4 linked regions of the Struthio camelus genome follow. The protein of the gene in region 3 interacts with the protein of the main gene of each other region in a pairwise test. Links are inferred from orthologs where the notes say so. Each region holds a gene or a part of one and is shown on either strand. Other genes may lie near its edges. The genes, in order: PTN, YAE1, CHD3 and SIRT6.

Region 1 (7,557 bases), on a different chromosome or scaffold from region 3:
TATTTTTATTTTCAACTAGAAAACAGTTGCATATTATTCAGCTTAGAGGTAAATGATTAGTAAAGACACAACATGATTTTCACTTTTATATCACTTGCAGGCTATATACTTAGTGCCTCAAATTTGTTATTACTGGCTTGTCACTGAGAATAAAATTGACTGTATCAGGTCAGTGCCCAATTGAAAGCCATTCAATACTACATAAAATACTATTTTGACTGTCTTAATGAAGCATCAAGGACTTGATTAGGTAGGGCTATAAATACTACCTTCTCTACTTTTAAAGATAGATTTTTCACAGAACAGTTAGGAGTGTAGACATAACTAACTTCAAAAACTGGAATTAGCAAATCAAGTTCTTCCTGAGATAATCTGAAAAGGAAATGTGCATTCTATTTATTCAGTAATTTTCTGCCAGAAGTTTTAAGCCAAATCAAAATGTCTTTTTTTTTTTTTGTTTCTGTTTCAGTTGAAAAATGTTTTGTTTCTGTCTTTTGCTTTGATTTTCACCCAGAAATACATAGCGGCAATAAGTCAAAATAGAACAAAAACGGTACCTTTGACTTGGGACATCAAAATAAAATGCCATTTTGCTTTGTTTTTTCCTTTCCCCCAAACTGTAAAACCAGAGTGAAATGAACGTGTTGTTTTAAAAAAAGAAAAAGTGATAGTCTGTTCAAAGTCACAATTTTTATCCATAGCTGGGATTTTTTTTCTTTTTATAACAGATTTCAAATTCTGGATATGTAGGATCTCCATTCTCAGGATTGCCAGCACAAAAGAAGAAAATGGTGAGAGAAGCCAGTTTCAGAATGGCACTCTTTTAAAAGCTGGGGATCTGGAAAGGCCTGCTGTGCTGCATTATATTTGTGGATTCAAACTGCAACATGCAGATATATGCACATGAATAATTTCAAGCACAAGAGCATTAATCCCATTGTAGAAAATAGAATCAGTCAAATGTGTAACGTTGCAATATGTATTCACGGTTTGGTCACTGAAGCATAAGATCAAGTTCTGGGATACTGACTTTTTTGGAAAATATCTTAAGTTTTTAGCACGTGTGCATGTAAAAATAACTCTGCTGGGTTCAGAATTTGTGTTTGCCTTCTTTTGCATACATCTAGAAAAACTGTTTTTTAACATACTGGATTACTTTAATACTAGAGAGTGAGGCATGAATTATTATTTTTGAATTCCATGGATTTTTCCACTCTAATTATAGGACTGACTATTGTCTCTGTGACAATATTCCTGCTATTATGCAGGCCTGAAATGAGAGATGGAGTGAGAAGGAACACAGCTCTGAAGTAGCTGATTTCAGTGTTCAGTGCATTCACTAAATAATTCAGTATCACTAATGGAAATCTGATTTTGGTAGAGTAGGCATGAGGGGCACTCAGTGCTGGAGTTTGGCAGCTCAATAGCCTGGGAACAACAGTGGAGCAAAAGGTGAAAAAAATCTTTACGCTATTCTCGAGTTCTCTTTTTTTGCTTTCCTGGAATCATGTTACATCTTCTTGGAGGCTGCTGTTGCTGAGGGCTAGAGAGGGCGAGAGAAAGAAATTGATATTTACAGTGTATCCGAAACAAAGAAAGCTCAACCCAAGCTGACCTTTTAACTGGTGTGCGAGTGGTTTTTGCTTCTTGAAAAGTATAGCCCCATTCTACTCAGCTGTGGGACCAAGAACAGGGAAACACTTACTGGGAGCAAATTATATAAAGTCTTGCGTTCTGACTTTGTGGTCTGAGATTTTATAGTCAGAATCTTTCAAGGGCACCTTAGGAAAGAAGTACTAAACTCTCGTTAGAAGCTGATGAGATCCCAGTGACTCTCTCCTTCAGGGCACTTATGAAACAACTGCCTCAAAGTACTGAAATACCCCAGGTTCAAAGGGAACTGTTGGTGTTCAACTCAGGAAAACACTCAGTGAGAGGAACTTTGTTGTGGGAGGGTTTCTAGATTTAGGTACAAGATACATCTAATGCTGGGAGCTTCTTTCCCCAAAATTGCCTCAAATACTTACTGATAGAAATATTTGGGACATAATACTTTTCGATTGTTCACAAGACCATTTTTTTGCATGTGGCATCAATCAGAAGTGGTTTTGTAACTTATTATTTGCCTAACCCTCACTCTTCCTTTTAAATGAAATTCTGCCCTATATCTCCTTTTCAATGGGATACTGTTCTGGGTAGCAAAGATGATACATGAAAGCAGAAATTTGACTTCTACAGCTGGCAGTCCATTCTTCATCTTTGTTTTATTGAACAGTATGGAACCAGCAAGGATTTTAAGGATAAGTTTCACCAGCAATCTGAGAGCAAATTTTCTTTTCTTGGATATTTGTGTGTCCAGACCAGAAAAGTAATTGTCAAAGGCTATTTTCCAGTATGGATATTTTCTGTATGTCACAAGAGACTTAAATGAGGCTACCGTTCAAGGTGCCATTAATATGGAAATAATATTAACATAAAAACACACTTTTACTTTTTGTCAGTCCAAGACTGAGATATTTTATTTTTTCATCAGAGTTCCTTCAGACCATAATTTGTCCTCTGAGCAGCTGTGTTAACCTCGAGTGCAGTTCATTTTAGACTTTTTGAATCAAAACCTAAGCCCCCATTACAGAAAACTAGTTTTAGTGCATGTAAACTCAGTCACAGGAAATTCATTTCTGAGCTATGGAAAGGTATCTAGAAGAGGTGTGAGTGGATTAGGTTCAAAACTGTCTATTGACATTGCTTTCAACATTTAATGGAAAAATGGGGCTTCTGACACACGCATCATTGTGAAAAGTGGTTGCTTTCTGCAGAAAGTTTCCATTGTTTGTTGAAAAACTGAAAATGCTAAGTGTTTTAGGTAGGACTCAATTTTCTGTGAGGGAAGGAAGAAATCTCCAGACCCACTTCAAGGCATCTGTTTTGGTCTTAATCAAGAGCCTTTCAGCCTTTCTCCTCTTGCCTACTTTCACTTTGTTACTCGGACATCATTGCCCATCTGAAGTGCACTATTGCAGTGGCACAGAGACCGTTGTCTCTTGTGTCAACCGTTATCAGCTGTTTTATGATGGAAAGTCTTCCTCTCACAGTGCTTAGCACAGTGATGCCAGGAGTTCACTGAGGAGCCCCAAGGAAGGTGCAGAGTAGTTATCAAGGATCCATTTTTATTCTGATCAGCTTTGCATCGCTCAGTTGCAAAGTACTATTTGAGTGCTCATTTCCACGCATCCAGCTGCTAAAAACACTGTTCTCTCCTCCTGAAGCCACTGCTTTGCCTGTCGGGTCAAAGTTGTTTAAAATTACATCACTGTCATTAAATCGGCCAGTGGTGTAAATCCTTAACAGCCGTGCCCGGACTATACATGTAACTGTGTGATGTAAAGAAGATGCCAAGGTGTGGATGGAAGGAAGGGAGTAGCTTACGGAGAAGGAGGCCAGGTGGGTGCAATTGCCTACGCTGGGCCTAGCCATACAGAGCTTTCCATTGTCACAGATGGTAGGTGTTAGATGATGCAATGCGAACAGTGCCAGACAAATTACTTTTTTAACTCATTCCTCTGGAAACAGGAGAAGAATCCGAACTGGATTTCTCAGACCTGGAGCAGGAGCTGCTAGCTTAACGATCTCAGCAAAGACCCTAACCGTCAATGGGCTGAGTCTTTCCGATCGAGACCAGAGACTTGTTCTGGCAATGGGCAATTGCACAGAAATTGCCTGGGCTTTGGAACAAGTCCACTTAGTTTCAAATTAAGCTGTAGACTGGGGAACGCTCTTATTCAGTGGATGTAATGAACCTAAAAGCTGGAAAGGCCTGCTCCCAAATGAAAGCCTTGACACAACTCCAGCAGCCAATACACCCAGAAGTGCCGAAATGCCACCACAAAACTTGTTCTCGTGCTACTTGCAGCCCAAACAGAAATTAAAAGCTGCTTTATTTATTCCCCTGCCCCTAACAGCGTTTCCAGTCCAACACTGCCACAGTCTCAGCAGCGAGCTGGAAGCCAGCGAGGTTAAAGTTAACGCTCCCTTTCCCCTAAACAGTCACCGAAGGGGCCAAAGACTCGCACGGGGTGAAAGCGGTGCCTCGGCGAGCCCCGCGGCGGCCGCCCCGCAGCCCCCTCAACGGCCGGCGGGCAGCCGTTGGGCGCCCCCGCGGCGGGCCGAGCCCAGCCCCCGCTTCCCCGCGGGCGGGAGTTCGGGACGTTACGCCGGTTCGGGAAGTCCGTTAGGACGCCGCAGCGGGGGGGGCCGCGCCACTAACCTAACCTCCCCCCCCCCCCAGCCCCCCAATGCCGGGCTCCGCCGAGGCACGGGGGAGCCCCCTCCCTCTCCCCCCCCCCCACCGCGGGCGGGGGCGAGGCTGCCCCGCGAGTGACCCGCGCCCGCCGCGCGCCCCAATCAGATCGCGGGAGGGGCCGCGCGGGAGCGCGCGCGCGCGCGCGCGCCCGCCGCCGGCTCCGCTCCCTCCGCCCCGGCCGGGGCCGCCCGCTCCCGCACTCGGCGCCGGGGCTCTGCGGAGGCAGCGCGGGCAGCAGGTTCCCTCGGCATATATATATATATATATATATATATGTATATGTATATAAAATAACCATAATAATCCTGCGAGGAAAACAAATCCCGAGCAGGAGAGCGAGAGGGCGCGCCGGCAGAGCGGCAGCAGCAGGCTAGAGGAGAGGGATCGCAGCGCCGGCAAGTGCCCGCCGCTCCCGGCTGACGGGCGAGAGCCTCCCGCCGCTCCAAGTAAGTCACGGGCGCGGCCCCGGCCCCGGTGGCGGGGGAGGCGGCCGGGCACCTGCCGCGGGGCCGCGGAGCGGGCGCTGCCGCCGCCGGTCGATCGCGCGGATATTTAAGAAAGTGAAGTGGGGGGACGGGGCCCGGCGAGGGAGGGAAGGTTTGGGGGGGGGGGGGGCGAAGCCAGCAAATGCCGGTTTATCTGTTTTTAAAACTGCTGCCGTTAGTTTACGCCTGCCGTTCCCTCCGCGGGGATGGGATGGGAGCAAACCGGAGTTAACGCTGGTGGAAACACGGCTTTCCCCTGCTGGGTGTACAGGTTGTTCTGCAAACGAGCCACGGTCTCCCACGCTGCTTCCCGTACCTCCTTACCCCTCCCTCGTCTTCTCTTGCAAGTAGAGTTAACACTGGTGAAAATGCAGTTTTCTCCTACTTAAGAGTACTGATTGTTCTGCAAATGTGCCACAGTCTCCAGCACGGATTTCTCTAACTCCTTACCCTCCCTTGTCCTCTCTTCTGAAAAGCAGAGCTCTTTATAAGAAAAAGGTAGTCTTGTTTCTTTGGGGGCCTCATCTGCTGCTCTTGCTTGTTCCAGCTGGATGTCGTGCACCTCTCCCTTCAACCCCGCAAGTGGCGTGCCGCGGCGGTGGATGGCTACAGTGCTTTAGTTTAGTGGTATGCTCAGAAGCTGGATTCGGGGATGTAACTCTGAGGTTAGCTGGTTCTTAGGAGCATTGTAGGTTGGTTTGCGATGTGCATTACCTCTTCTATGAGGTAGCCCTGCAACTATGCATATCGGTCGGTGTTTTAACTAGATCCTGTTTGCTTTGAATAACTTATGTTACAGTAGAAGAACACTTTTTACCTGTAATTTGTCAAGCCTCAAACTTTCTGTCCTGTTCCTGTTTCCCCTTCAGACCTCGATTGTTCCAAGCTTTTTGCAAAGTTCAACTTTCGGAGCAAGGAATGGATTGCATATATAGTAATAACTGCTTGTATTGAGGAGGAGGAGGGAGGGTAGGAGGAGAAAGAGAAGGGAAGGGTATGGGAAAGTTTTTTTTTATAAAGAAATGCTTCTCATACGTTTTCTGGACAGTGGTTTGAGCTGATCTGCAGAGCAAACTTTAGTTTGTTCTGTGCGACTCTCTTCCCTCCCTGCAAAAAGAGCATGAAAATTTTATACACACACACACACACACACACATATATATATATATATATATATATATATAAGACAATCTGAAATTTTCATCAAGAGAAATGGTCCGAAGGGAAAAAGGAACCTGCCTAGTGGTGAAAGAAGTTTTTAGTTTTTGTAGTGGATGGAATTGGATGGAGAAGGTATTTTGTTAGAGTGGTCAACCGAAAAAAAAGAAATAAGAAAACCACTGCATAAATTACTGATTCCTCCTAAAAAGAGCAAGAAAGTAGAGGTTTAAGTGTACTCTTGACTCTGATCGAAGCTAAACTCTTTGGTGACTTACCACTTAGGGAGCTTTCTGTGAAATTGAAGGATGGATGCTTATCGACTGCAGAGCAAGCTCTTAGATGGAAAGAGAGGGAAATTTGAAGCCAGCAACAGATCTGTCTCTTACAAATGAGTAAGTTTTTGTTGATAGTGAACAAGCGATCTAAGAAAAACAGACTTTTGCCATTATCCAGATGTCTATCACCGGTTATTTGAGATGCAATTTGTGACTGATAAATGCTTGCCAGCAGGAAGTTGGTTTTACTACAGCATTACCAAGCATAGCGCTAGCCCAGTACCATATACTAGTATTCTACTGTTGGTAATATGAAACAAACTGTCCCAGAGAAGGTTCAGTTATGCCATTATGCCAGTGTTGACACTGAGGACACTCTTGAGGCTTATCTTATTCCTGTCACAGCTCTACTAATGGAGGCTTTGTGTAGATTCAGCTTTCTCTTGCTAAACTGAATATTAATACTTAGCTGATTCTACCAGCAACGGCTCTTGCAAGGTACTTCACAGACACGTCTTATGTTTCTTTTGGTCATTCTGGAAACAATTCTTCCTGAGTCCTTGGATAACAATTAAAAATAGTCTTTTACTGGAGCTCTGAAAATGTACTCATTTAAAGCATGCTTCGTTTTATTTCAGTGCATTTTTGCAGCAGGGAAGATATGATTTATAAACTGTTAAAGCATTTACACTAAGTTATTTGGGATGGAATTGGTTCTGTCGATGAAACTTGTTGCTCTGTTCAAGCCCCCTCGTTGCGTACGCTCCCAACAGTGGAGTTTTCTGTGGGAACTATCTTTGAGTAACAATGTAAGCTTTGCTTCAATATTTACAACCTCTTGCTGATCAGTGTATCAAAAGCATTTTCATTTAGAGGATTCATTTCAGGACTTTAATTGAGGAAACCTCTTTGTTTCAAGCCTCTTTATAATAAACCATTCAAAATGCTTTCTTTGAACGAACTAGGTCACTGTAACACGCACACACACAGAGATTCTCATCTGCTTAGGGTAGCCTGCATTCGGTCGACCCATATCCCTGGTGAGCTTGTCCCTGATTTATCCTTCTTGGACTGGCTTGTTCACAGGGAGCTTATGCTGCAAATTCACTGCTGGAGGTCATTCTCCATTCTTGGCATCTCTGGCAGTCTTAAGCTTAAATTGCAGCCTCATTTTCTATCCAATCAATACCACTCTTATGTTGCTGAGTTTCCATGGTGCCCCCAATCTTCTGTCTACATATTGATGTCTGACAGCAGGGATAGCATTCTGTGTCACTATATATACTTACTAAACCTGTCAAAACTATTTAGGATCTGTCTCACTAATTTATATGCA
Region 2 (7,043 bases), on a different chromosome or scaffold from region 3:
GTTATTGTCTGTTAGTGTCTGAAAAAGGGGGAAGTGATTTCACAAAAGCAGGGAAGTGATTCCTACGTATTCTCTATCTTCATCACAAGAGGGTGATAGGGCTTTATTAGTAAATTGCCTTGATATTCTGAATAAGAGATGTTATAGGAAAACACAGAAATACATTTTTGTTGCTGTGCCCTGGTAATAACCTAGTGGCTTATTTTAACCCTCTTTTTTAATTTAGCATCATTGTAGTCTCTTGTGCTGTGAGCTGCACTATGTAAAACGTCACTAAGTCTATGACCTTGCAGTTAACCTGTTCGCTCACTGTGGTGTCACTTTCCTTCCCTGCGGTGGGTCTGGAACAGAAGGATTTAAGCACTGGAGGTCACTGTATTACCACCTTCAACATCCAGCCAATAGATAACTCTACCACCTTTAGTGTGGGGGGGAAATAAATAATGTAGAGAAGAATCAAGCTCAGGACAGAGGCATAGGCTGCACGAGAGCATGAATAGACCATTTTTTGGCGTTGCAGGCAGTCTTACTGATTTCCTGTTACTCGACGTATTCCAGGCAAACTGCCTAGAATCTGACTAGTCAGTAGAGCCAGATACCTGGAAAAGACTACAGACCTGGCCATAGACAGAACATGTATTTTAGGAGGGACTTATAGTTTAAAACTTCTCGGAATTATCCTGCAATGTTTGATGACAATGTATTTACTGACTTTATTAAACCTCAAGAGTCTTCATTCTCCTCACATTTCAACAGCTTACTCTTTACTCACCATGTTTTAGTCTTGTTTACTATAGAGAACAAGTGAACAGTGATTTGATAGTGTTCCTGAAACTCATCCAAATACCATTTAAGAGCTGTGATTTCTTAAAAGAATTATACAACTGCCAAAATTAAGAGCCAGAGAGACGTGGCTCTGTCTGTGGGTCCATGACGATAAACATTGTTACAACAGAATATAGAAGTGAGTGGAGAAGAATTTACGTACAGTGTAATGCCAGTGCAAATAGTCTTGTATCCTGGGCCTTTCGAAAGCCTTAGCTTGAGTGCACCAGATACAGTCGCACACTGCAATAGAAATTGCCCTGGTGAGATTTTTTTGTCATCCTGAAAGACAGAATAGCCCATACGCAGCACAAGAAGCCCTGGCTACATGAATTAACCACCCTTCAAAAGAGCCTGAAGTCCTGAGGGGTCTTTGTACATTATGAAGAAATCCATTGACTGCTTCTGTCAGTGCATGTTTGAGACACTGATGGCTGAAAGACAAGGGTGCATAGTACTGACATGAACAGGGGCAATGCTGTATCTGAAGTATTCTGCATAGTAATAATCATGTAAAAAAGGAGTCCACACTGCTATGTTCATATATCTTAGTTTTAGAGATCACTTTTGGTCACTGTTCAATGGGAGAATTTACTAATGAGATCAAACTGACAAAAATCCTTGGTAATGATCTCCCATAACATCTTGGTAGTCATAAGTAGTGCACGACTGTGTGCACAGCCTCTCTGGAACCTGTCCCTCCTACAACAACATGTGCAAGGAGCAACTGGTAAGCCAAATGCGTTCATTGCTCAGAGGTACTTTTGGTACTGCAGATATCGTAAATCTAAAATGATTCAGTTTTTATTCTTAGATATGGCACAGATGAACTTTATGATGGGTCATGAATCACCTGTTTCTTTATTTTTCACAAATCTGGGGGGTCAAGTCTTCTCATATATTTATTCCGCAAAAATGCTAAAGCCATTTTGTAGCCTGTGAAATACTCACCTCATGTTCCTTTGGCATGCAGCACCACAAAATGTCACCACAATAGGTAGGCACTGATTTATTTAGAACGCACATAGGTGTGGAAAACATGCACATCCTGAAGCACTACACCTCACCCTCAAGCCTTGCCAGCAGACCTGTCAAGGCCATCAGCATGCAATCAACTTGTCTGCAGCAAGTGTACTTCATAACCCAGCAGTGCTGTTCTGTGTACACACTATGATTCACCAAATTATCCACCCACAACCACTAACCGAAAAGGGTGGGAATACGAGCCTTCTTCACAGTTTCTCATGGTCACAACATAAGGATTTATTTTCAACAGACATCTGTGTGGAATACAACGACAAACCAAGGTAAACATAAGGGGTCCTGAGACAGTTTGAATTGGGGCAGCTCAGTAACCCTGAAGCATGACCTGTGTGTCCTTTCTAGAAGAGCGAGAGGTTGAAGGTAAGGTGATGAGCAAGGGTAGGGCTGGTCCAGCTCCACAGGCAGGAAGCTCCCAGGTTTAGTAGCACCATTTTGTGACTGGTCATGAGGGGTTACCTACAGCAACAGAGTTCCAGTTGTGATAAGGGTTTTCTGAGACTGTGTGTTTGTGCAGTCCAGCTGTATTCAGCACCTTTGTCTGTTAAAAAAAAAATGGCAGAGCTAGCCAAGTTAACCTCTACCAGATAGCAGGCAGAATTGGGCTAGGAAATCAGCAGTCATGGCCATATATAATAACTGCTGAGGAATAGATAAACACAGTTCTGGCTGTCCAGAGGCATCCATGTTGTTTCATCCCCTGACATGCCAGTTCCTCGACAGAGTTGGGTTGCTTGGCCACTTGTACCTCAGCATGCAATAGGCAGTGAGCATCTTAGAAGGGCCATGGGCAGGAGCACATGCTGTCTTGGCCAAACAGAAGGGGCAAGGAGAATGAGTTTGCTGTGGCTGTGTGAGTCACAGCATGGGATCATTCTTCTCTCATTACTTGTGGTGCTAGGACAGGCTCTGCTTTCAGTCATGGCTGTGCACCTAACCCTGCTGTAATGGGAATTTCATGACTCTTCTGTGGGACAGGATCAGGCACTCACTCAGGTCTTAGTGTGGCAGCATGGCCACAACAGTAAATGAGAAATCAGCATCTCCTGCCTATGCCATTGAGTCTCTGAAGAGGCACGCGCCTTGGGGACATGGCTCTTGGGGTTCAGCATCAAAGCATGCAGATGTGGTCTCTGTCACATGAATGCTGGTGGTCTCAGCAGCTCCTTCTGGGACAGTGTGCTCGGTGGGGGGAGCCCCGCACACCGAGGTGTGCACTGGAGGGCCTCCTGCCACCACCTTCCCCAGCTTCCCCGTGGAGCCGCCCTCATCACCAAAGTGAGAAGAGTCCAGAAGTAGTATTTCGAGGGCACCACTGGGAGGGCTGTAATGGGACAGCCCAGCTGTGAGCTCGGCTTGGACCTCAGAAGCAGCTGCAACAAGACACGCCAGGCACGGGACACAGCAGCAGACACCCTCGTGCGCTTTTATTTTACGTTTTCCCTTAATCTCCTCTTTCTGTCATACATATGCTCCCTTTCAGGGACCAGAATAAGCACCAGGACATTTACTTTAATGGGATTTGGCAACTGGAAGAAACATGCAGTTTAAACCCGCAGTTGATGCATAGTTAATGTCTGAAGATTAGTTGGTGCCATTGACCACCTTTAAACGAGGTACGCTCATATGCCAAATATAGACTGTACCAAGAAAAACACTAAATAATTTTGGTATGTCAAAAGGATGTATATTTGCTCTCACAGAGGCAAAGAGTAAAACATTTGCCTGCCACTGGCCCCCTTCTTATTAAAAAGGATACATTTGTGTGAAGCCTAAACGTTGTGGTCGCAGCGGACAGCGTAAGGACACGGCTGACACCCGAGGACCCGGAGGATTCAAAAGGCAGGGGTTTTTTTGTTTTGTTTTGCTTTGGTTTTTTACAATTCCACAATTTATGACTGAAAAGCAAGCTAAACCTTCTCACTGCGGGAAACGCGCTCCCGCTGGGTTTGGTATTAGAGGGCCGGGGGGGGGGGGGCACAGCCTGCCGCCATGGCCCGCTGCGGGGCAGCCGCACTCCCCGGCGCCCCGAAGAGGCGGGAGACGGCGGCTACGGTAACGGCTCTTTCCCTGCCTCCTCCAACGGCTTGGGCACCCTGGGCGGGGCAGCGCTCGCGTCAGCCCCGTCCCGCCTCCTTGAGGAAGCCGTAAAGCTACGCCCTTACTCAAGATGGCCGCCAGCCCCTAGTGCTTCAGACGGGCTTTGAAGCCACCGAGCTGCGGGTTAAGATGGCGGCTATTTACCGGCAGCCCCTGCGCATCTTGCCCTCAGTCAACATGGCTGCCGTTCGCCCGTTGCTTCCAATGGCAGTGAAGCCAGCCTGCCCTTAGCCGGGATGGCTGCGCCCTGTAAGCGCTGGTAGGCCGCCGCTCGGCGGCTGCGGGAAAGTGCCGGGGGAGCGGGGCCGGGGTGGTGCCGGGGGTCCGAGCGAGGAACCAGGGAAAGGGAGGGGAGGCTGCGCTTGTCTTCAGCTGGCAGAGAGGGAAGGCTCCTCGGGACGCTGGGGCTGAGCGGTTGGCCGCGAAATGGCGGGTTGCGGCCTGGCCGGGGGCGGCCCGCCGCGGCGCGGGAGTCTGGGGGCCCCGCGGCCGCGACCGGGACCGGGACCGGGACGGGGACGGGGACGGGGACCGCGGCTCCTCCTTCGAGGCCGCCCTGTTCCCACTGGTCTGCAGCCCAGCCTGTTCGGGGTTGCCCTAGCAAGTGCTCGCCTGGGACATGCTGCGGCAGGGGAATTTGGGCCTTTTTATTACTTTTCTTTTTTTTGAAATGTATTATTTATTTATTTATTAATGTTTCGCACACGAAAGAGTCAGAGAGAGAGAGAGGTGAGGGGATCGGGACAACACGTGAAAGGGACCTCACGGCACAGCCTCGGCTCCAGCGTAGGCCGCTCGCTGGTCACAGCCTGCAGCGCTGCACCACCGCTGACGCCACGTTGCCCTGGGAGAGGCGCTCAGTGCGGTTTTTTGCAAACCATCGGTTGGAAAGGTTTGGGGACTTCTGAGGTGCGTCCCTCACCCATCACAGTGAGGGAGCTTGAGGATTGGAAGGATCCAACCGTTTGTGTCCCAGAAAAAGCAGCGTGGCCAGGCACAGGACTTTAATTATGTCCTTTGGTGCTGTTGACATCCTCTGCATTTCGGCCATGGTCGGTAGCACCGTCTGAGAACGTATCAGGAATAATTTGGGGTATAGATCTCTCCAGTCACTTCGTCTCTAACTTGTTGAACTGTTTCTTCCCTTCCTTCCCTCCTGCACAGACTGACACAACTGCAGTATTTTGTCTGTCCTTCTCTGCTCTTTTCCTCATTTTGGGGACTTTTTTTGACAGTTTTATGGACTCACCCTGGAGCTAACAAAACCAGGTGGTAATGGGGTTAATAGAGATGGCTATGCCATGTTTCTACTCCCTGTCAGAATGTCAGACTGTTTTGAAACATAACCATTTCTAAGCCTGAAATACTGTTGTAAGTTGTAATAATAGGGATGTTTTCACTGTTTTGTAATAGGATGTGGAAAAAGATAAACAGATGAAGCAATTTGCATTAGTGATCTGTGTGAACTTGAGCAAAAGCTGAGATTCTTGGACCAGTCATTTAATTACTGGATCCTTTCCTAAAGATTGAATACAACAGAGCTGGAAATTCTGGAAGCTTTGATTAAGATCAAAAAAAATTGTATATGGCAAATGCAAAAATGAAATTTAAAATCAGTACCCTATACCCATTTTAACAGATTATTGAGAAAGATAGTATTTTATGGGTTATAAGAATTCCCAGCAATTTATTTGATTAACTGCAAATGGCCTCTTAAGGTTTTTTTCAGTGCAGAAGACGAAACAATCCAATTCTGTCTTTTTCCATTTAGAGGAGAACTAGCCAATTCTTTATTCACAGTATACAGGAGTATTTCTGTTCAAGATGAACAAGATTGGGTTAAACATTTGGCATAACCATGAAACTGAAAATCAATGTCCAGTGTCAGTTACTAAGGCTAAAACTCTGCAAGCAATTACATATAACTTAATGTACTGCATGGAAGCTATATGAGGCTATTGTCACCTGCTATCAAAATCAAATTGTAAAGTTGTTTCTGCCTGTTGCTCACGTATTAGCAACATTTAGACATACTAATTTGGTGTGCATATGTTTGTCACTGCCATTGGACCTAAATAAATGAAGAAAATACTGTCTGAAACTGCCCTTGCAAATTGAAACAGTTGTTTTACAATTGGTGATCTGACTGTCTTCTCTTGACAGCTACAGCTGTAAGCAGCATCCAGTGTCTTTGTGGAAACAAACATATAGGTTAAATAATCAGCTCCTGAAGTGACTTCTCTTCAGAACTCACATTTTCTGCCTGTGCTTCTAATGCAGTACTTTGTCAGAAGGACTTTGGAGAGTTTCCCAGTATTTGCTTTAACACGTAAACAAAGGTCACAGTCACTGGTGCTGTAATGTCCTGGGTACAAGTTGCCATCAGCCAATCCAGTGAGGATATATTTGATGAAGATGCAGATGAGATATATCTAGCACAGAAAGAATGGAATAGCACCATGAAGAAAAGATTGAAGGTATTTCTATAACCATGATTTTATAGTCTTTTAACCATTTTTTATTTACTGATACATGCCTTGATTGATATGGTTGATTTAAGGGGAAAACTAAAAATGGCTGCTTAAAAGTTATTGTGGTATAGTTTCTTCTGAACATCAGGAAAATGTAGAGCAGAGAGTTGCAGCAACGCTATCCAAGTAGCCTGTCAGAGCACGTAGTAGTTTAGCAAAAGATCTTGACTCCCTCTATACAAGTATGTGCATGTGTGGAATGCAACGCTAAATCTGGATTCAAGCTTTTTGCTTCACGGTTGTAGGTTTACTGCTAGTAAATGTGGGGCAGTATAATTAAACAGTGCTAATAAAGAAACATGGGCTTTTTTTTCCCCCCACTCTCCTAGTAATATTCATCATTCAGATGTGTGGCTCCTGGTAGAACAAGTGGTTATTGCAATCTCTATAGTTCTTTGGCTTATTTATTTTCCTGCTGGACTTATTTATTTTCCTACTGAAAACGTATTTTATGAAAGCTGGTTTCCACAACCCTTTCCTCTTTGAAATTCTACACAGAACAAAAACAAGTATAAAAAAATCTAGGTGACTTCAGTGGATATGAAT
Region 3 (7,815 bases):
GCGGCTTCCCAGCGGAGAGAGGCGCTCGGAGACGGCCGCCGCGCGGGTGACGCCGGCTGGCGTGACAGTCGGCGGATCGCCGTCGTGGCGGGGTTCGGGAAACGCCGCTGGAGAGCCGGTGGTGGGGCCGGATCCCCCACTCCCGTGCGGAGTTGGGAGGCGCGTGCTGAAAAAAGCCGCCCGGCCCCCAGGCGCGTCCGGGGAGCGCGCGGCCCCCGCCTGCCACTGCGCTGGCCCTCGGGAGCAAAGAGCATCCCCTGGCTCCCGCGGCAGCAGCTGACGTGGAAAAGCTCCTCGCGGCGGGTATTTTTAGCAGCTTCCAGCATGATTTAGCAGCTGGAGGCGAGGAGGGGAGCCAGCGCGGCGCACTCGCCAGCTCCGCATGGGCCCCGGCGTGGGAAAGACCAGGGCTCAGCAGTGCAGATCTGCCAGCAGCGGGGGGCGGGGGGAAGGGAATAATCACAGCGCGTGCTCGTTATCGCCAGGATTATGATAAGAGTTGGGCACAGAGACTTTATTTTCTCATCCTTGTTTTTGGGAGGAGAGAGGGGGGAAGAACAACCTGGCGGGAGGGCAGGTCTGGCACCACCGGAGGGAATTTTTTTTGCGGCGTCCCTTCGATTTGGCTGGACTGGTAGCGTTGGGCGCAGGGGGGAGGCAGCTGCAGAAGAAAGGGGAAACCGGAGCTTTCCTCAGGATTCCCTCCGTGACAAATATCCAGGTGGTTTGATTTGTTTTCGGTGCCCCCAGCCAAGGTGAGGCGGGTGCCACCGCTCTGCTGGAGCTCAAACACGTGCCAAAAAATTGCTGGGGGGCGGGGGGGACTGAATTTCAGTTCAAAGAAAAATCCCTCCTGGAAAACATCCAGCCTTGACCTAAAACCTCTTGTTCTCCGCGTTTCCCTGCAGTTGTGTCCGGCCGGAGCAGCAGCAAGGAGCCAGCCGAGCGCCCCGGGGCCAGCGCAGGTGAGCGGCCGCCTGGCGCGTCGCCCCCGAGCCGGGCGCCGGCCACGTCCCGCTGGCCCCTCCGCGGCCTTTCATCTCCCGGCGGGAGCTGCCAGCCGCTGGCGCGGCCCCGCGTCACGTGGGCAGGGATTTCTCCTCGCCGCTGACCCGAGGCCGCGTTACAGTAACCCAGAGGTGGAGCGAAGCCGGACGCCGCTCGCCCGCGCCGCCGAGTCTTGCCGCCGCGACCGCTCTCGGCATCCCGAGGCCTCCGTGCGTCTCTGCATGTCCTTGTTCCGCTGTCCGTCTGTCTCGCTGCGTCTCCTTCCGTGTGTGTGTCCGTTTTTCTTCCCCCCCCCCCCCCCCTTGGACCCTGCGCAGGCAGCTGGCGCGTGGCTCTAATCAAAGCCTCGTTTGCTCCGCTCCCCCCCCCCCCGAAGAGGAGGTTTGGGCTCTCTTTGGAGGTTGTCGCTTTTATCTGCTACCTTCAGGGCTAAGTCCTCGGCGGGTGCGAATCAGCCCGGCGCTGCCAATTGGCGCCGGATTCCGGCTCCGGCTGTCCAGCGAGAGGAACGGGGTGCGGATTACGCGCTGCCAGGGCTCGGGGCTGCGCGCGCCGCTCCAGCCGGCTCTGCCACGGAGACGCGCCAGGCTCGGTCGCGCCGCCAACGCTCCCCTCTCTAGAAATGAAAATCCCCTGGAAAAGGCTGATCCGCGGCCCCCGCGAGAGCAGGAATCCCCTCCGCGTGGAATTACTCATCTCGGTAAACGCCACGTTCCCGTGCCCCGAGGCCGGGGGAGTTGCTCGTCGCCCGCGACGCTGCCCGGAGGCCTCGGCCGCGATGTCGGCTCCGTCTGGCCGCGTTCGGCTCCGTCTGGCCGCGATGCCGTGGGAAACGAGGGTTTATTAGCTAAATCGATGAGGCAGCTGGGAAAGAAGCGCCGGAGCTGGAGCGTCTCGGCCGCGGGGCAGCCGGGCTGGAAAGCGAGGCGGGAAGGCCCGGTCCCCTCGGAGCTGCCACGTTCCCCGTTCTGGGCTTCGCTCTGCTGGTCCCCTCCAGTCACTGGCCTGTTTTTAGGGGCTGCGCCGCCACCCAAAAGCGTTATTAGCGGAGGAAAACGAAGCCAAACCGAAGCGATGGAGGAAGTAGGCATGGAAGAGGCAGCGGCAGCTTCCGCAGGAGGTTTTCCCACAACGGCGACCGTTTCCCCAAGCCGGTCGGCGCGTAAAAGCCTCTGTGACCCCTCTCGCCGGGTGAAACGCGGTGATAAGCGCTGCGACTTCCCTATTAGCGTCATGCCGCGTGTTGCTCCGGTCGCGCCCCTGGCCGTCGCTGAGCTGCGAAGAAACATCAAAGACGGGTTAGAGACAGAAAAAAGGGGGGGAGAAAAAAAGAAAAGCCTGCCCTGGCCGTGCCCAAGGGAACAGAGACCAAGCCGCAAGCAGCCAGGGTCAAGTTTAAGGCAAGTTTCTCCCGGCGGGGAACGTGCGCTCCGGCCGTCAAAGCCTCGCAAATCGTTAAAAACGCTACCGGGGAACCTGCCCGCGACAAAATTAGCGGCGGCAGGTTGCTCCGCGGCCCGTTAGCTGCCAGGAGGGGAGCGGAGAGAGAAGGTGCCTGGACAGTGGTGTCAAAGGGGGCAGCCGCGAAAGGACCGAACTGGCAAAAAACAAAGAAAAAGAAAAAAAACCCACCTTGTGGAAGTGAGAAATAAACATGAACTGGGTAGGAAAAAAAAAAACAAAAAAAGGTTGGGGGGGGGGCATCAACATATTCTTCTTGTCTCCAAATTCCTCCCAAACCGCTGGCCGCCCGCGCCAGGAGGGAGCCGTTTCGACACGAATTCGTGGTGCCGGTGCTCCCGGGGGGGAGCTTGGGTTAAATATAAAAGGCGCCGCGGGAAGCAGGCGGCTGGCGAGCGGCGCGGCCCCGTGGGCGCCGAGCACGGGCGGTCGGGGAGCGAGATTCGCTCTGCGCAACGATTTCTTTCCTCCCCACCCAAAAATACCTATTTTTTGCCAGGTTTGTAGGGCAAAAAAGCAGCTGAACAAGCCCAAAAATGAATATCGAAGCCGTGCCTGGTGTTAAATTCTTGGTGAGCAGCGGGAGTTTGGCCTGGCTGTGGTGCAGTTTGGGGGGATTTATGGAGTTTTTCCTTTTTTTGGGGGGGACACCAGCCCCGCCTACCGCGCTCTGGCTTCGTGCAAACCACGAGGGGTTTGGGATCCCGTCCGGAAAAGGCTTTTTCTCCCAAAAGCGGAGGGGGTCGGTGTCCGAGGGCCACGGGAACAGGTCTGCGGGCATCGCCGGAGTCCAGAGCAGGCCTGATTGCAAAAGGCCTCGAAATCAGGGTTGGGAAGAAATTAATAATCGTTATTTGCAATTTGTCGGTGGAGGGAGGGGGGGAAAAAAACCCCACAGGTGAGGTGAAAAGCTCCTCTGACCTGAGCGGGGAACGTGTTTGATGAATTATTTGGGGGAAAAAAGAGAGATGGAGAAGAAGGGAAAAATAAAAGCAGGGTCCTGGGCTGCCGTCCAGCGGCCGCCGGCTCGTCGGCTTTGGGCCTCGAGGTGAGTTTGCGTTTCCCCCATCGCACCTTTTTTTAAGTGTAACGTTCAACAGATGAAAGCGTTTCTTAGGAAGCAGCGGGAACGAATCCCGAGGGCCCGGCACGCGGCGGTTCGAAAACCAGGACGATCTGGGGAGAGCGAGGCTGCCTTCTGGGGCCGAAAAGATGCTCCGGGGGCAAAAATGCTGCAAAAATGCCCTGGTGGTGTCATCCCGCCGCCCCCGAAAAGCCCATCGGGGCGCCCCGAAGGGCTCCTCCCCGGGCCCCCTTGCTTCGGGGGGGATTTGGGGGCGTTTGGGGGTCATTGCTCCGTGCGCAGACAAAGCGGGAGACATCGGGGGCCCCGGGGTGAAAAATCCCCTTTTCCCTGCTCACCTCCGAAAGCAGCACGGCGGAGCGGTGAAAACATCGCGTTTTTCACCCCAATTTTTACGGGGGAAGCTACGGGGAGAAAAAGAGAAAGGGGTGAGTGTTTCTCGCCAGCAAAGCGGGGCAATCGCGGCGGTGGGGGGGGCGGGGGGGGTTTCTCTCCCTTTTAATTATTTCTCGGTGTCGGTTTTACCCGGGGAGGCGCGTTGGCTTTGAACGCCGGTGGAGGAAAACACACAGTTAAATCATTCCTAACGATGCACTTAAACGAATTTGGACCATGCGCTTAAATGATTTTTCAAGGCTGTTTCTTTTCTTTCCCTTTTTTTTTTTTTTTTTTTTTTGTTCTTCCTTGCCCTACAGCCTAAAGAAAGAAAGAGTAGGGAGGGAAAATAAAAAAACACACACACACACACACACACCACTCCCTTCTGAAGTATTTAAAAGTAGGGAAGGGAGGGGGAAAAAAAAGCCCCCCCCTTGTTTTTTTTTTTCTCCCTTTTTTTTTTTTTTCCGCCTGTACTAGTAAAGCAAGGAAAGCGGGCGGAAAAAAAAATCTCGTGGTGTTACTAGTATGGAACTAGTTAACCTTTAACAATTTATGCTGATGTCATACTGAGCATGAGTACTGATTAATCCAGCCTTTTCTCTCTCCCCCCCCCCCGCAAAAAATATTTTTATTGAGGGAGGTGGGGGGGGAAGTATAAGGGGAGGGAGGAAAAAAAAAAAAGAAATAATTTAGAGCAGCCATCTTTGTTTTATGCAGAAATCTTTCTCTTTCAGTTCCCCCCAGCGCCAGGAATATACAAATATTGTTCATCTTATGCACTGATCTGAGATCTTCTGAGAGATTAAAAAAAAAAAAAAAGAGAGAGAGAGAGGGGCCAGCAAGCCAAAAATCAGAATTATTTTATATCGCCAGCTATATATATTCCGAGCAGCAGCAGCAACAACAAAAAAAAAAAGGGGGGGGGGAATCTAGGCTGCTTTTTTTTTTCTTGCCTGATTTTTGTTGAGGCTTTTTTTTTAATCTTTTTTTTTTTTTAACCTCAAGGAAGAGGTGTGTGTGTGGGAGTAGGGGGTGACTTAAAAAAAAAAAAATAAGCCAGCCATTTTGGTTTTTTTTCTTTCTTTTTTTTTTTTAATAAAGGGTGGGGGGGATTTGGGGTTTTTTTTTTTTCGGTAACCTCCCGGGGTTGAGGGAAGGGGGGGGGGGGTCGGTTTTAAAAATAATTTAAGGGCGGCCATTTTTGTTCCTTGCTCTTGTGGAAAATATTATTCCGAGCTGCCCCCTCAGAATTTCAATGTATTTTTAACCTCTCTTCTCTCTCTTTCTTCCCCCCCCCCCAACTTTCTCTCTTTTTTTTTTTTTTTTGGCAGGGGAGGAAAGGAAGGGGGGGGAAGTCGGCGGGGGAAGAAAAGTTCGGGGAGTTTTCTCGCTGTTTTGGGGGGGTTCATGGCTGCATTCGCGGGACTTTTTCCTGCCGTTTTCTCCTCAGGCTGAGGTGCTGCGCGGGGGGGGGGGGAGGATTTTTTTTGGTGTGTGGCGGAGGGGGGCCGCCCCCCCTTCTCTTTTCTCTCTCTCTCTCTCCCTCTCTCTCCTCTCTCACTCACTCCCTCTCTCTCTCTCTCCCTCCCTGCCCCCCCCCCCACCCCCAGCACCACCATGGCTTCCCCTCTGAGGGAGGACGAGGAAGAGGAGGAGGAGATGGTGGTGTCTGAGGTGGAGGGGGACGAAGAAGACGAGGAGGAAGAGGAGGAGGAGGAAGACGGAGCCGGGGACAACAGCCCCGGCGACATATTCCTGTCAGCCGTGCAGGCGGCGGTGCCGCTGGCGCCCGCGCCCGCAGCATCAGCTCCCGCCGCGGCCGCTGAGGCGACTGAGGCGCCTCCAGGTAAACAACCTCCCCCCCCCCACCACCCCCAACCCCGGCCCCGCTTCCCGCCGCCGCCGCGCGCGCGCCCCCCCCCCTCCCCGCTAACGGCTTTGAAGGGGGGGGGGGCGCCGTGTTTGTAAACAACCGCCAACGGCTTTCGAACGTTGAGGGGCCGAACGTTCCACCCCCCCCTCCCTCCCCGCGCTGCCGCCGAACGCGCGCGCGCTGCCCAACGGCTCCGGACCGTTGCGGGGCGGCGGGGGGGGGGGGGGCGGTTTCTAGGCCCCCCCCCCCAACCGCCGCCCTCCCGGCCGCCGAACGGGCGCGCGCGCGCGCTGCCCAACGGCTCCGGACTGTTTGGTTGTGTGTGGGGGGGGGGGAAGCGGTTTCTAGGCCCCCCCCCTTCCACACACACACACAGAGGCGCCGCGCTGCTTTGCCCGGTTTAACGCGCCCGCCCGCGCCGAGCTCTTCCCCCCCGCGGCCGGGTGAGTGGATGTGTGTAAAGGGGAGGTGGGGGGGGGGGCATCGGCCTGGCCTTCCTCCCTCCCCCCCCACCGAGCTCTTCCTCTTCCTCCTCAACGGCTCCGTTCCGTTTGTGGAGGGGGAGGGGGCGTTTCTAAGCCTCTCCCCGGTTTAACGCGCCCGCCCGCGTGGAGGGGAGCGAGCGCCGGCCCTCCCCGCCCAACCGTTGTATGGGGGGGGGGGGACACCGTCGCGGCCTTCCTCCCCCCACCTACCGCGTTCTTCTTCCTCCTCCTCCTCAGCGGCTCCGCGTCGTCACGGGGGGGGGGGCGGTTTCGCTGAGGGCCTTCCCCCCCCCCCAACTCTCCGTTAACGGCTGTGGAAGGGGGGGGGCGCCGTCCGGGCGCCGCCTCCCTTCCCCCCCCCCGCCGCCGCCGTTAGTCCCTGGGGTGGGGGAGGGGCGGCTGTGCGAAACGGTGCCCCTCCCCCACCAGGGGGCCGCCTGCCCCATGGACCCCCCCCCACCCCGCCGCCGTGGGGTGGGGGGCGCCTGAGGGGAGGGAGGGCGCTCGGTGCCCCCGTGGAGTGAGTGGGGTGGGGGGGCGCCTGAGGGGCTGTAGGGTGCTCGATAGCCCGTGTTGTGGGGCGATGGGTGCCTGAGGGGCTGTAGGGTGCTCGATAGCCCGTGTTGTGGGGCGATGGGTGCCTGAGGGGCTGTAGGGTGCTCGATACCCCCTGGTGTGGGGCGATGGGTGCCTGAGGGGCTGTAGGGTGCTCGATAGCCCGTGTTGTGGGGCGATGGGTGCCTGAGGGGCTGGAGGGTGCTCGATACCCCCTGGTGTGGGGCGATGGGTGCCTGAGGGGCTGTAGGGTGCTCGATAGCCCGTGTTGTGGGGCGATGGGCGCCTGAGGGGCTGTAGGGTGCTCGATAGCCCGTGTTGTGGGGCGATGGGTGCCTGAGGGGCTGTAGGGTGCTCGATAGCCCGTGTTGTGGGGTGATGTGCGCCTGAGGGGCTGTAGGGTGCTCGATAGCCCGTGTTGTGGGGCGATGGGTGCCTGAGGGGCTGTAGGGTGCTCGATAGCCCGTGTTGTGGGGCGATGGGCGCCTGAGGGGCTGTAGGGTGCTCGATAGCCCGTGTTGTGGGGCGATGGGCGCCTGAGGGGCTGTAGGGTGCTCGATACCCCATGGTGTGGGGTGAGAGGTGCTGGGAGAGTGTCTGAAGGGGTCTAGGGTGCTCGGCGCGCGGTGATGTGGGATGGGGGGGTGCTGGGAGGGCCCTGAGGGGCTCTAGAGTGCTCGATACCCCCTGGTGTGGGGCGGTGGGTGCCGGGCGGGTGCCTGAGGGGAGCCAGGGTTCTCAATGTCCTGTTGTGTGGGGCAGTGGGTGTCAGGAGAGCATCCAATGGGCTCCAGGGTGCTCAGCACCCTGTGCTCCAGGGCGATGGGTGTCGGGGTGGCGCCTGAGGGGCTCTAGGGTGCGCAGCACCCTGTGGCATGCAGTGATGGGTGCTTGACGTGCTCTAGGGTGCTCGGCACCCCATGGCGTGGGGCGATGGGCAGCGGGAGGGCGCTTGATGGGCCCTGGGC
Region 4 (7,629 bases), on a different chromosome or scaffold from region 3:
TTATTTAGAGACAAAGTACCTTTTAAGGCTATCTTGGACCCAGGCATGGCTTCACCACTGGGGCAGCACCGCCTTTAATAATTTTCTCTCAAGAAACTCAGTTTAAGCAAATCCTAAAATAGTACGAAATGCAGTGCTCTGGGACAGCTCTAGCAGTGCTGGTAGAACAGGGTGATATAAGTCTCTGCGAACAACTGGAGCAGTTTCGGATGCTCCTGCCCACTCTCCCGTGCCTTCACCCCCATGCTGACGGGTGCTGCTGCCAGGGAGCAGAGGCAGTGGAAAGGACCCGTGTGCCCTGACCCCAGCCCCGAGCCCTGTCCCTGGCCTCTGCCACCAGGAGCACATGCCTTATGCGAAGCTGCTGTTTCCCTCTGCAGCAGGGCAGGCTACGATCCCCAGGCAGTTGGGTAACACAGCTTGGCTGCGCAGTCTGCTGCTGCAGCTCAGCTGACAGGCGGTAGGTAACCTGCTACAGCCCAACAGCACTGTCTGCCTGTTCTGCTTGTGAGCACCCTTGGCACCTGGCTGGGTGCACTACTGAAAAGCATCACCTGAGGCTGATTTCATTTCATTACCCCTCAGATTATTGCCACAACCTCTCTTCTCTGAATTCAAGCTGGTTTACATCCCCTTCCCCCACCAATGCATTCCGGTTTCCCCGCTTGTATCAGTGGGCAGACAGCTTCCAAGCTGGACATTTCTTGGAAGCAGAGCATTCAGGCCCCAGCATCAAGAGAAAATTAGCTGGCCCATTTTGTTAGGAGCATTGGCAAGAGTTTGCACATGCGACCACCCTAACTGGGCAGCAAGAACAGCCACACAACAGTGGCTGGGGCTGGGGCAGGCACAGGGGACCCAGAAGCAAGGCGGGAGAAGCAGTACCGTGGGAATCCCGAACGGACGTGAAGGCCGTCCACGTTCTGGCTGACCAGGAACTTGAGGATGCCGACTCTCTGCAGCCCCAGCAGTGCCATGTGAGTCTTGGAGGGCCTGGCATTCTCAAAGGTGGTGTCAAATTTTGGGGAGAGCCCCTTCTCTTCCATAGTCCAGACACCATTTGGCCCCCTGTGGCAGAGCAGACAGAAAAGTGATGATCACAGACTCTAAGATGCTTGTGAATGCATCACGAGCACTATCAACAGAGTAAGAGCAAGACTCTGCTAAATGAAGGTCACCCGTTACCAGGGATCTCTGACCTTGATGAAGGAGAACACACATGGGGCTTCTGCAGGTACAGCTTAATGTCAAGCAGCGACTTGCAAGAGGGAAAGGGTAGTGTCTGCTGAGTGGTGGCTGGTTACAGGACCAGGTCTTGCTGCAGGCAGGAAGGGGCGGCAGGGAGCACAGTCCAGAGCTTTGCGAGAAGTGCAATGGCCCACGAGGAGGTGCTACTCCTTCCACCCCTCACTTGCTGTCCTGCTCCCTTACCCACCATCCTTACCTGAAGTCGGGAATCCCTGAGGCAGTACTGATTCCAGCCCCTGTGTGAAACACCACGTTCGAGGAACTCCTTATCAAATCTGCCAGTTCACGCACTTTCCTCTCCAGCTCCTCCGGAGGATCAAAAATCTGAGAAGAAACAAACCACAGCAGGAACTGAGAGACCCAGTGGTGGGTGCTACGCACCCCCGCAGCAGGCACACACACCCAGTAAACTGTTCTTTCTTATCCACAATGAAAACTGCAGGTGGGAAATAAGATTTCTCATTGCTTAACGATAAAAGCATCTAACTGGAGAGAAACAGCATTGTACAAACTGTCCCCATGTAGTATAGGGGCTTAAAAAAGCCTTATGCAGAAGAGGGTATTTAATGCTCTTGCCAACGGGTACCTGATACCCACAGAAGCATCTTGGATCAAGGGCACAGTGGAGCAGCAGGAGGAAGGGAGCGACCCCGGGGCCAGCCCAGGTGCACTGATCCCCGGCACCGTTCCCCAGCAGAGCCGCGGGCTCGACAGGGCTCGGGGCCAGCGAGCCACAGCGGAAGAAGAGGGTGGCCATGGAGATGGAAGAGGCAGAGCCACTGTAGCTGGATGGGTTTGCGGGACCATCCTGCCTTCTGGCACGGGCGACCGTTACGGACGCAGAGTTGCATTTCTGCGGGCTGCTCCTCCAGCCTGGTCCCCTGAGGACACGGGCTGAGGAGGACGTCCCGTCCCCGCGCTCCAAGGCGGGCTCAGGACGCCCCTGCGCGTCCCCGTCCCCCTAGACCTCTTCTAAGCTTCTCGAGCGCTGCTGTGCCCTGTTGGGCCGCGAGGTTGGGATCCCCCCCCCCCCAGCTATGCCTGGGACAGGCCCCACAGCGGGCGAGGGCCTGCCCTGAAAAAGGGGGGACCCTGAGGGGGCACTGGGGTCTCTGCTGGGAGGGGGGGGGTCACGGATTGGGCTCGGGGGAGGCACAAGGGCAGCACTATGGCACTGGGAGAGTCTCTGCTGGGGGTGGGGGGCAACACAAATGGGGTCCGGTTGAGGGGGAACATGGGGCAGGGGGGGTGCAATCCCTGCTAAGGGACACATAGGCTTGGGGATCCCTGCTGGGGGGGCAAAAAGAGGGGCGCGGGGCTGGGCTTGGGGGGGGGGTACAAAGGGGAGCCACAGGGCTGGGCCGGGGGGCAAAAGGGGGTCCGTGGGGCTGGGCCTGGAGGGCGGGGGGAGAGCCATAGGGCTGGAAGACCATGGAGCTGGGGGGGGGGGAGCCACGGAGGGGGCCCGTGGGGCTGGGGGGACGGACACGGCTGGGCCGGGGCCGCCGCTGGGGGGCACCGGGGGGAGCGTGGAGGCCCCACCCGGGAGACAGGGGGGGACAAGGGGTGGGGTGGGCCGGGGCCGGGCCAGGCAGGCCCCGCGGCGCCTCGCTCACCTCGGGGAGGCCGCACTTGCCCTTGTCCGAGTACGGCGAGAGCCCGGCCGCGTAGTTCACCGCCATGGCCCGGCCCGGCCGCGCCGCCCGCCGCGCACCAATAAAGTTTTCATTGTTGTCAATGCCCGCGGAAGGGCGGAAGCGCGCAATGAAGCCGCGGGGCGCGGGGCGCATGCGCAAGGCAGGGCCGGTGGGGAGGGAAGGCGAGGGCGGCGCCGCCATATTGGTGCCTGGCAGGGAAAGCACCTGCCCTTCCCTTGCCCTTCCTCTGCTCCAGCCTAATTCCTGCCCCCCCCCCCAAAACCCGGCCCGGACACAGGCGCTGGGCGGGGGGTGCCAGGCAGGGACGAGGCCTGGGCCCAGCCCTGCCCCACACCGCCCCCAACCCTTGGGGAGGGATGTGGGGTCCCAGCCCTGCAGGGCTCCATCCACCCCCCCCAGGCCCCCTCTGCCTCGGGTCACGCCGCCACCGCCTTCCCCGGGGCGTTTCGGGGGCTGCCCCACATCACCCCACGGGTGGCAAAAGGGGGCACCCGCTGCCGCCCTCAGGGAGGCCCCGAACGGGCTCGGGGGGCCCCGCTCGGCGCGGGCAGGTGTAACCGGAGCCGCCGTAACCCAACTCCCCCGCGGCGCCTGGGTCCCCCCCGGCGCCCGCCGGCCGGCCACGAAGCGCCGGGGTGGCTCAGCGGCGGGGCGGCCGCGGGGTGAGGAAGGGTCTGCGGGCGCCGGTGGGAGACGGTGGGGGGGGGCGGCCGGCGGGACCCCACGCGGGCCTGGTTTTGGGGGGCGGCTGCTGGGGGGGGGAGCAGGGCGTCGAGGAGGCGCACGCACGTGTCCCCCCCCCCCCCCCGCCACCACCTCTGGGGTGACGGGGACCCTCACGGCGCCGCCGTCTCCCTCGTCTAGGCACGGCGGGCCGGAGGGTCGAGCCGCCATGAAGAGCCTCAAGGCCAAGTTCAAGAAGTCGGACGTGAGTGCGGTCCGTGGGGGGGGGGGGGGGGGAAGGGGGTCCCCGACGGAGGGGGGAAACGCCGTCGGGCGAGAGGGTCCCGCCTGCCGGCTCTGGGGTGCCCGGGAGGGCTGCCAGGTTTCCGGAGCTGGCCATCGGGTTCCCACCTCGGTGACGGCACTCGTCGATACTCATCAATAATTCAGCGCCGCGCGGCGGTCCGCCGCCGGGCCGGGGAGCGGGGAGGGCAGCTGCCACCCTGCCGGGGGTGACGGTGCCGTCCCCGGTGCCCGCGGAGGTGCTGGGGGGGGGGGGGACGTGGCCCTGCTCGAGCTCGTTTTGGTGCGGGTTAAACGCCGAAGCGTGGCCCCCTCCCTGGGGTCTGGGGAGCTGCCTGGCCCGGGGATGCCCCGTGCCTCGGTTTCCCCACCTGCCCGGCTCCTCTGGGCGCTGCGGCAGCGGGGAGGGCTGAACGGGCCGCTGCTGCCCCCCTAAACTGCCCCTATCCGGGGGGGGGCCCTTCTCCGCAGCTCTGCCCTTCCCCGGCCGGGTTTCCATCTTCCTTCCCCAACGGTTGGGGCCACGGCCGCAGCCTGTCCCAGCGCGGCCCCCGCTTCGGCTGGGACCTGCGTTTCCACCCCAGTTTGGGGGGGGGGCTGTGCCCCTCCTTCCAGGGCAGGGTCTGGGTGCCAGGAGGATGCTCCCGTCCTTGATTTGGGGGTGCCCCACTGCCTCGCCCTGGGGGAGCTGACCTCCCCCCCCCCACCCCAGTCCCTCCCAGTCTAACTGGGACCAGCCCTGGACGCTCGGTCCTGCTGTGGTCCTCGCTCCATCCGCAGGGATGCGGGGATGCCTCGAGCTCCCGGTGATGAGGAGGGAGGGAAGGAAGGAGGGACGGAGGGATGGAGGGAGGCGGGTCCCAGCTCCCACTGCGGCAGGACCCGGCCCCCCGCCCGGGCGGCGGTGCTGGAGCCAGCTGGGGTCCGCGGCCGGCCCGGCTGGCCCTCGCCCAGGCGGGGGGCGAGGGATGCATGGCCGCCCGCCGCCTCCTCCTCGACACCATGAAGCAGATCTGCCTCTGTGCCGCTGCCTCCTTTGCGGTACGTCCCTGCCCCCCCCCGTCCCCGGTCCCCTTCGGTCCCCGTCCTCTGGGGATGGCTGTGTCACCCCCCCACCTCACCTGCCCCAGGCCCCTTCTATCCCCGGGACTTGGCTGCGTCCTCTCCGAGCTGCTTTGTCCTTGCACGGCAAGGGTTGGAGGGGGGGGGGATTGCACTCCCAGTTTGCCCAGTAACCCCAGGAGACTGCTTTATTCCCCGCCCTGGGACACGGTCCTCCAGCTCCGCAGGGTCAGGGGAGTTGTGGGGTTATTGGGGAGGGGGCTGTGGCACAAGCCCCGTGCCAGGCACTGGGCACCGGGCTGGCGATGGGCAGGATGCGAGCAGCTCCGAAAGGTGACATCCATTTCCTGTCTCCCCCGGCCGCAGCCTAGCTTTGGTTTGCGGCCGCAGGCTGCGGTGTGAACCCGGGGCTTCCCGGGCTCGTCCCAGCCCCGTCCCGTCCTGCTGCAGGTCGCTCCGCCGGCCCCCATCCGGACCCGATCCTGGGCAGGAGCAGGGGGTGTCCTCGTGTCCCACGCGCCAACGGGGGCTGGAGGTGTCCCCGGGGACCCGTTTTCACTGCCCTGCCCTGGCTCGGCCCCATCCCTGGCGGGCAGCAAAAAGGGGTGGCCGTGGGGCCGGGGCGAGGTGCGTGGAGGTTGGGGAGAGCCTGGGCAAGGTGGGGGCTCAAGCAGCTGTGGCTGCTGGCTGTGTTTAGCAGCGGGGTCGGCGGAGCAGCAGCAGCAAGCCCTGGGGCAGGGTGATGGGGCAGCAGCAGGTCATTCCTGAATCCCGGCCCGATCTGGGCACAGTGAAACTGGGACAGCTCTGTAAATCCCTGGGCTGAAAACTTGGGGACCCCCATGCCAGGCAGCTAAACCCTCCTTATAGAGGGGCCAGATGGCACCTGGCAAAGGAGTTGGCCCGGAGATGGCCACCCTAGGGCATGGGATGGGATAGCAGGGATGGGGATGAGGACAGGGACACAAGCCCAGCCCAGCACCCTGCCTGTCTCCAGGGTCCAAACACCCATCACGGCCCCGTCTCGGTTTCATTGCAGAGCCAGGACTGGACCAAGAACGATGAGAAGCTCCTGCAAGCTGTGGATTACAACGATGCCGGGAGGGTGACGTCGCTCCTCGTCCGCAAGGGGCTGGTCGCCACCAAGTTGGACTTGGAGGGCAAATCCGCGTGAGTACTGACCTGTATCCTCCTGTCCCTGTGTCCGCCCTGGCGCAGGCTGCTGGGCTCTCCTGGTCCCCTGAGCCACCCAGCGCTGCTCCTCGGGGCTTGCCGGGGGTTGGGGACATGGGGCTGATGGCCCTGGGCCTTGCTGCAGGTTCCACCTGGCCGCCATGCGGGGGAACGTGGACTGCCTCGAAGCCATGCTGGCCCACGGCGTGGATGCCATGACCAAGGACAGCTCAGGTGAGGGGCATGGCCACCGCACCCAGCTTCCCTCGTCCCCCCTCTTTTCCTCTCCGGGTAATGCTGTGGACCGCCTTGGGCCCCTGACACTCCCCAGTCCTTCCTACCCGACCGGCAGGTGCCAAGGCTGTGGAGACAGAGGTGATGGCCACATGGGCTGTAAATCAATGCTCAAGGAGGGTCCTAGCCGCCAACAGGCACCTGAACCCTGGCCCATGGTGTTCCCAGGGGTGCCTCGTCCCTGCTCAGCCCCAGCCCTGCAGGGTGCTGGGCTTTCCTGGCGCCCTGAGCCACCTCATGATGTTCCCCAGAGCTCCCGGGGCAGAGGGTAGGGGATGACCGCCTGTGTGCTTGTCTGTCTGTCCCCCAACCCATCCGTCTGCCACCGCCCTGTCCGTCTGACCGTAACCTGTCTGTGTCCCTCTCCCCAGGTTACACTGCCCTGCACTTGGCATCCAAGCATGGCCACCCGCAATGTGTCAGCAAGCTGCTGCAGGTAATGGGGCCTGGGTGCACGGCGCCGCGAGGGAGGCAGGGTGCCATGCCCTGTGCCATGCCCGACTCGGCCCCTTGCTCCAAGGGCACAGCCAGGCCCAACCTGCCTCGTCCTCCCTGCATCCCTGGGATGGCCACGCTCCCATCCCTCTGCAGTGGCGTTGGTCGGCATGGTGGTGCCTGGCTCTGGCCAGCACCATGTGGTTTGGGGCTGGTGATGATGCTCTTCCACCACCAAGGAGCTCAAAGTGCCCCACAGTCCTGGCCCCTCAGGCAATCCACCCCATTCTCCTGTAACCCAGGCCCTCTCCCTCAGGCCTCCTGCCCCGTGGACGTGCCTGATGGCAGCGGCCGGACGGCACTGCACCACGCAGGTGAGTGGGGACGGTGCCACCCCATCCTGCTCGCATCCCTGCAGGAGTCAATACTCAGCCTCTGTCCTTCTCCCCAGCTGTCAGCGGCTGCATCTCGTGCTCGGAGATCCTCTGCGATTTCAAGGCTCCATTGAACATCAAGGACAAGGTGAGATCCCTCTGCTCAGCACCTGCTGTTGTATGGAGGTCAAGTCCTCCGGCAGTGATTAAACTCTACTGGGCCAGGTGATGCTGCTGCGTAGAGCAGCCAAGGGCCAGGCTGAGGCTGCCTCTGAAATGTGGCCACTTCTGGGGTGGGACACAGCAGCTAACTGCTGGCAGCACCTGGGGTCCCTGGGGTGCTGCTGTGAAAACACACTGCCCCTGCCCAGGATGGCTTCACGCCGCTGATCCTTGCTGCCAAGATGAGCCACTCAGAG

What was found.
Region 1: the proteins of CHD3 (region 3) and PTN interact in a two-hybrid assay, tested with the Homo sapiens proteins (2 studies listed by BioGRID and IntAct). The link is inferred for Struthio camelus from reciprocal best matches to the Homo sapiens genes CHD3 and PTN.
Region 2: the proteins of CHD3 (region 3) and YAE1 interact in a two-hybrid assay, tested with the Homo sapiens proteins (2 studies listed by BioGRID and IntAct). The link is inferred for Struthio camelus from reciprocal best matches to the Homo sapiens genes CHD3 and YAE1.
Region 4: the proteins of CHD3 (region 3) and SIRT6 interact in a two-hybrid assay, tested with the Homo sapiens proteins (2 studies listed by BioGRID and IntAct). The link is inferred for Struthio camelus from reciprocal best matches to the Homo sapiens genes CHD3 and SIRT6.

Annotation. Positions count from the first base shown.
Region 1 is NC_090942.1:66,013,524-66,021,080, forward strand, and holds the start of PTN (pleiotrophin), read left to right. Parts: upstream 1-4,541; 5' UTR 4,542-4,746; intron 4,747-7,557.
Region 2 is NC_090943.1:58,241,958-58,249,000, forward strand, and holds the start of YAE1 (protein YAE1 homolog), read left to right. Parts: upstream 1-4,029; 5' UTR 4,030-4,215; exon of another isoform or gene 4,216-4,225; intron 4,226-4,310; exon of another isoform or gene 4,311-6,129; 5' UTR 6,130-6,326; coding exon 6,327-6,443; intron 6,444-7,043. UniProt on the Homo sapiens protein: The complex LTO1:YAE1 functions as a target specific adapter that probably recruits apo-ABCE1 to the cytosolic iron-sulfur protein assembly (CIA) complex machinery. May be required for biogenesis of the large ribosomal subunit and initiation of translation.
Region 3 is NW_027182697.1:108,034-115,848, reverse strand, and holds the start of CHD3 (chromodomain-helicase-DNA-binding protein 3), read left to right. Parts: upstream 1-4,808; 5' UTR 4,809-4,945; intron 4,946-5,092; exon of another isoform or gene 5,093-5,191; intron 5,192-5,268; exon of another isoform or gene 5,269-5,390; intron 5,391-5,544; 5' UTR 5,545-5,551; coding exon 5,552-5,780; intron 5,781-6,502; exon of another isoform or gene 6,503-7,815. Other genes in the region: CYB5D1 (cytochrome b5 domain-containing protein 1), read left to right, coding at 1-50.
Region 4 is NC_090967.1:4,374,924-4,382,552, forward strand, and holds the start of SIRT6 (NAD-dependent protein deacylase sirtuin-6), read right to left. Parts: upstream 3,004-7,629; 5' UTR 2,931-3,003; coding exon 2,865-2,930; intron 1,573-2,864; coding exon 1,445-1,572; intron 1,069-1,444; coding exon 886-1,068; intron 1-885. Other genes in the region: ANKRD24 (ankyrin repeat domain-containing protein 24), read left to right, coding at 4,845-4,913, 5,974-6,104, 6,253-6,341, 6,773-6,837, 7,153-7,210, 7,288-7,358, 7,582-7,629. UniProt on the Homo sapiens protein: NAD-dependent protein deacetylase, deacylase and mono-ADP-ribosyltransferase that plays an essential role in DNA damage repair, telomere maintenance, metabolic homeostasis, inflammation, tumorigenesis and aging.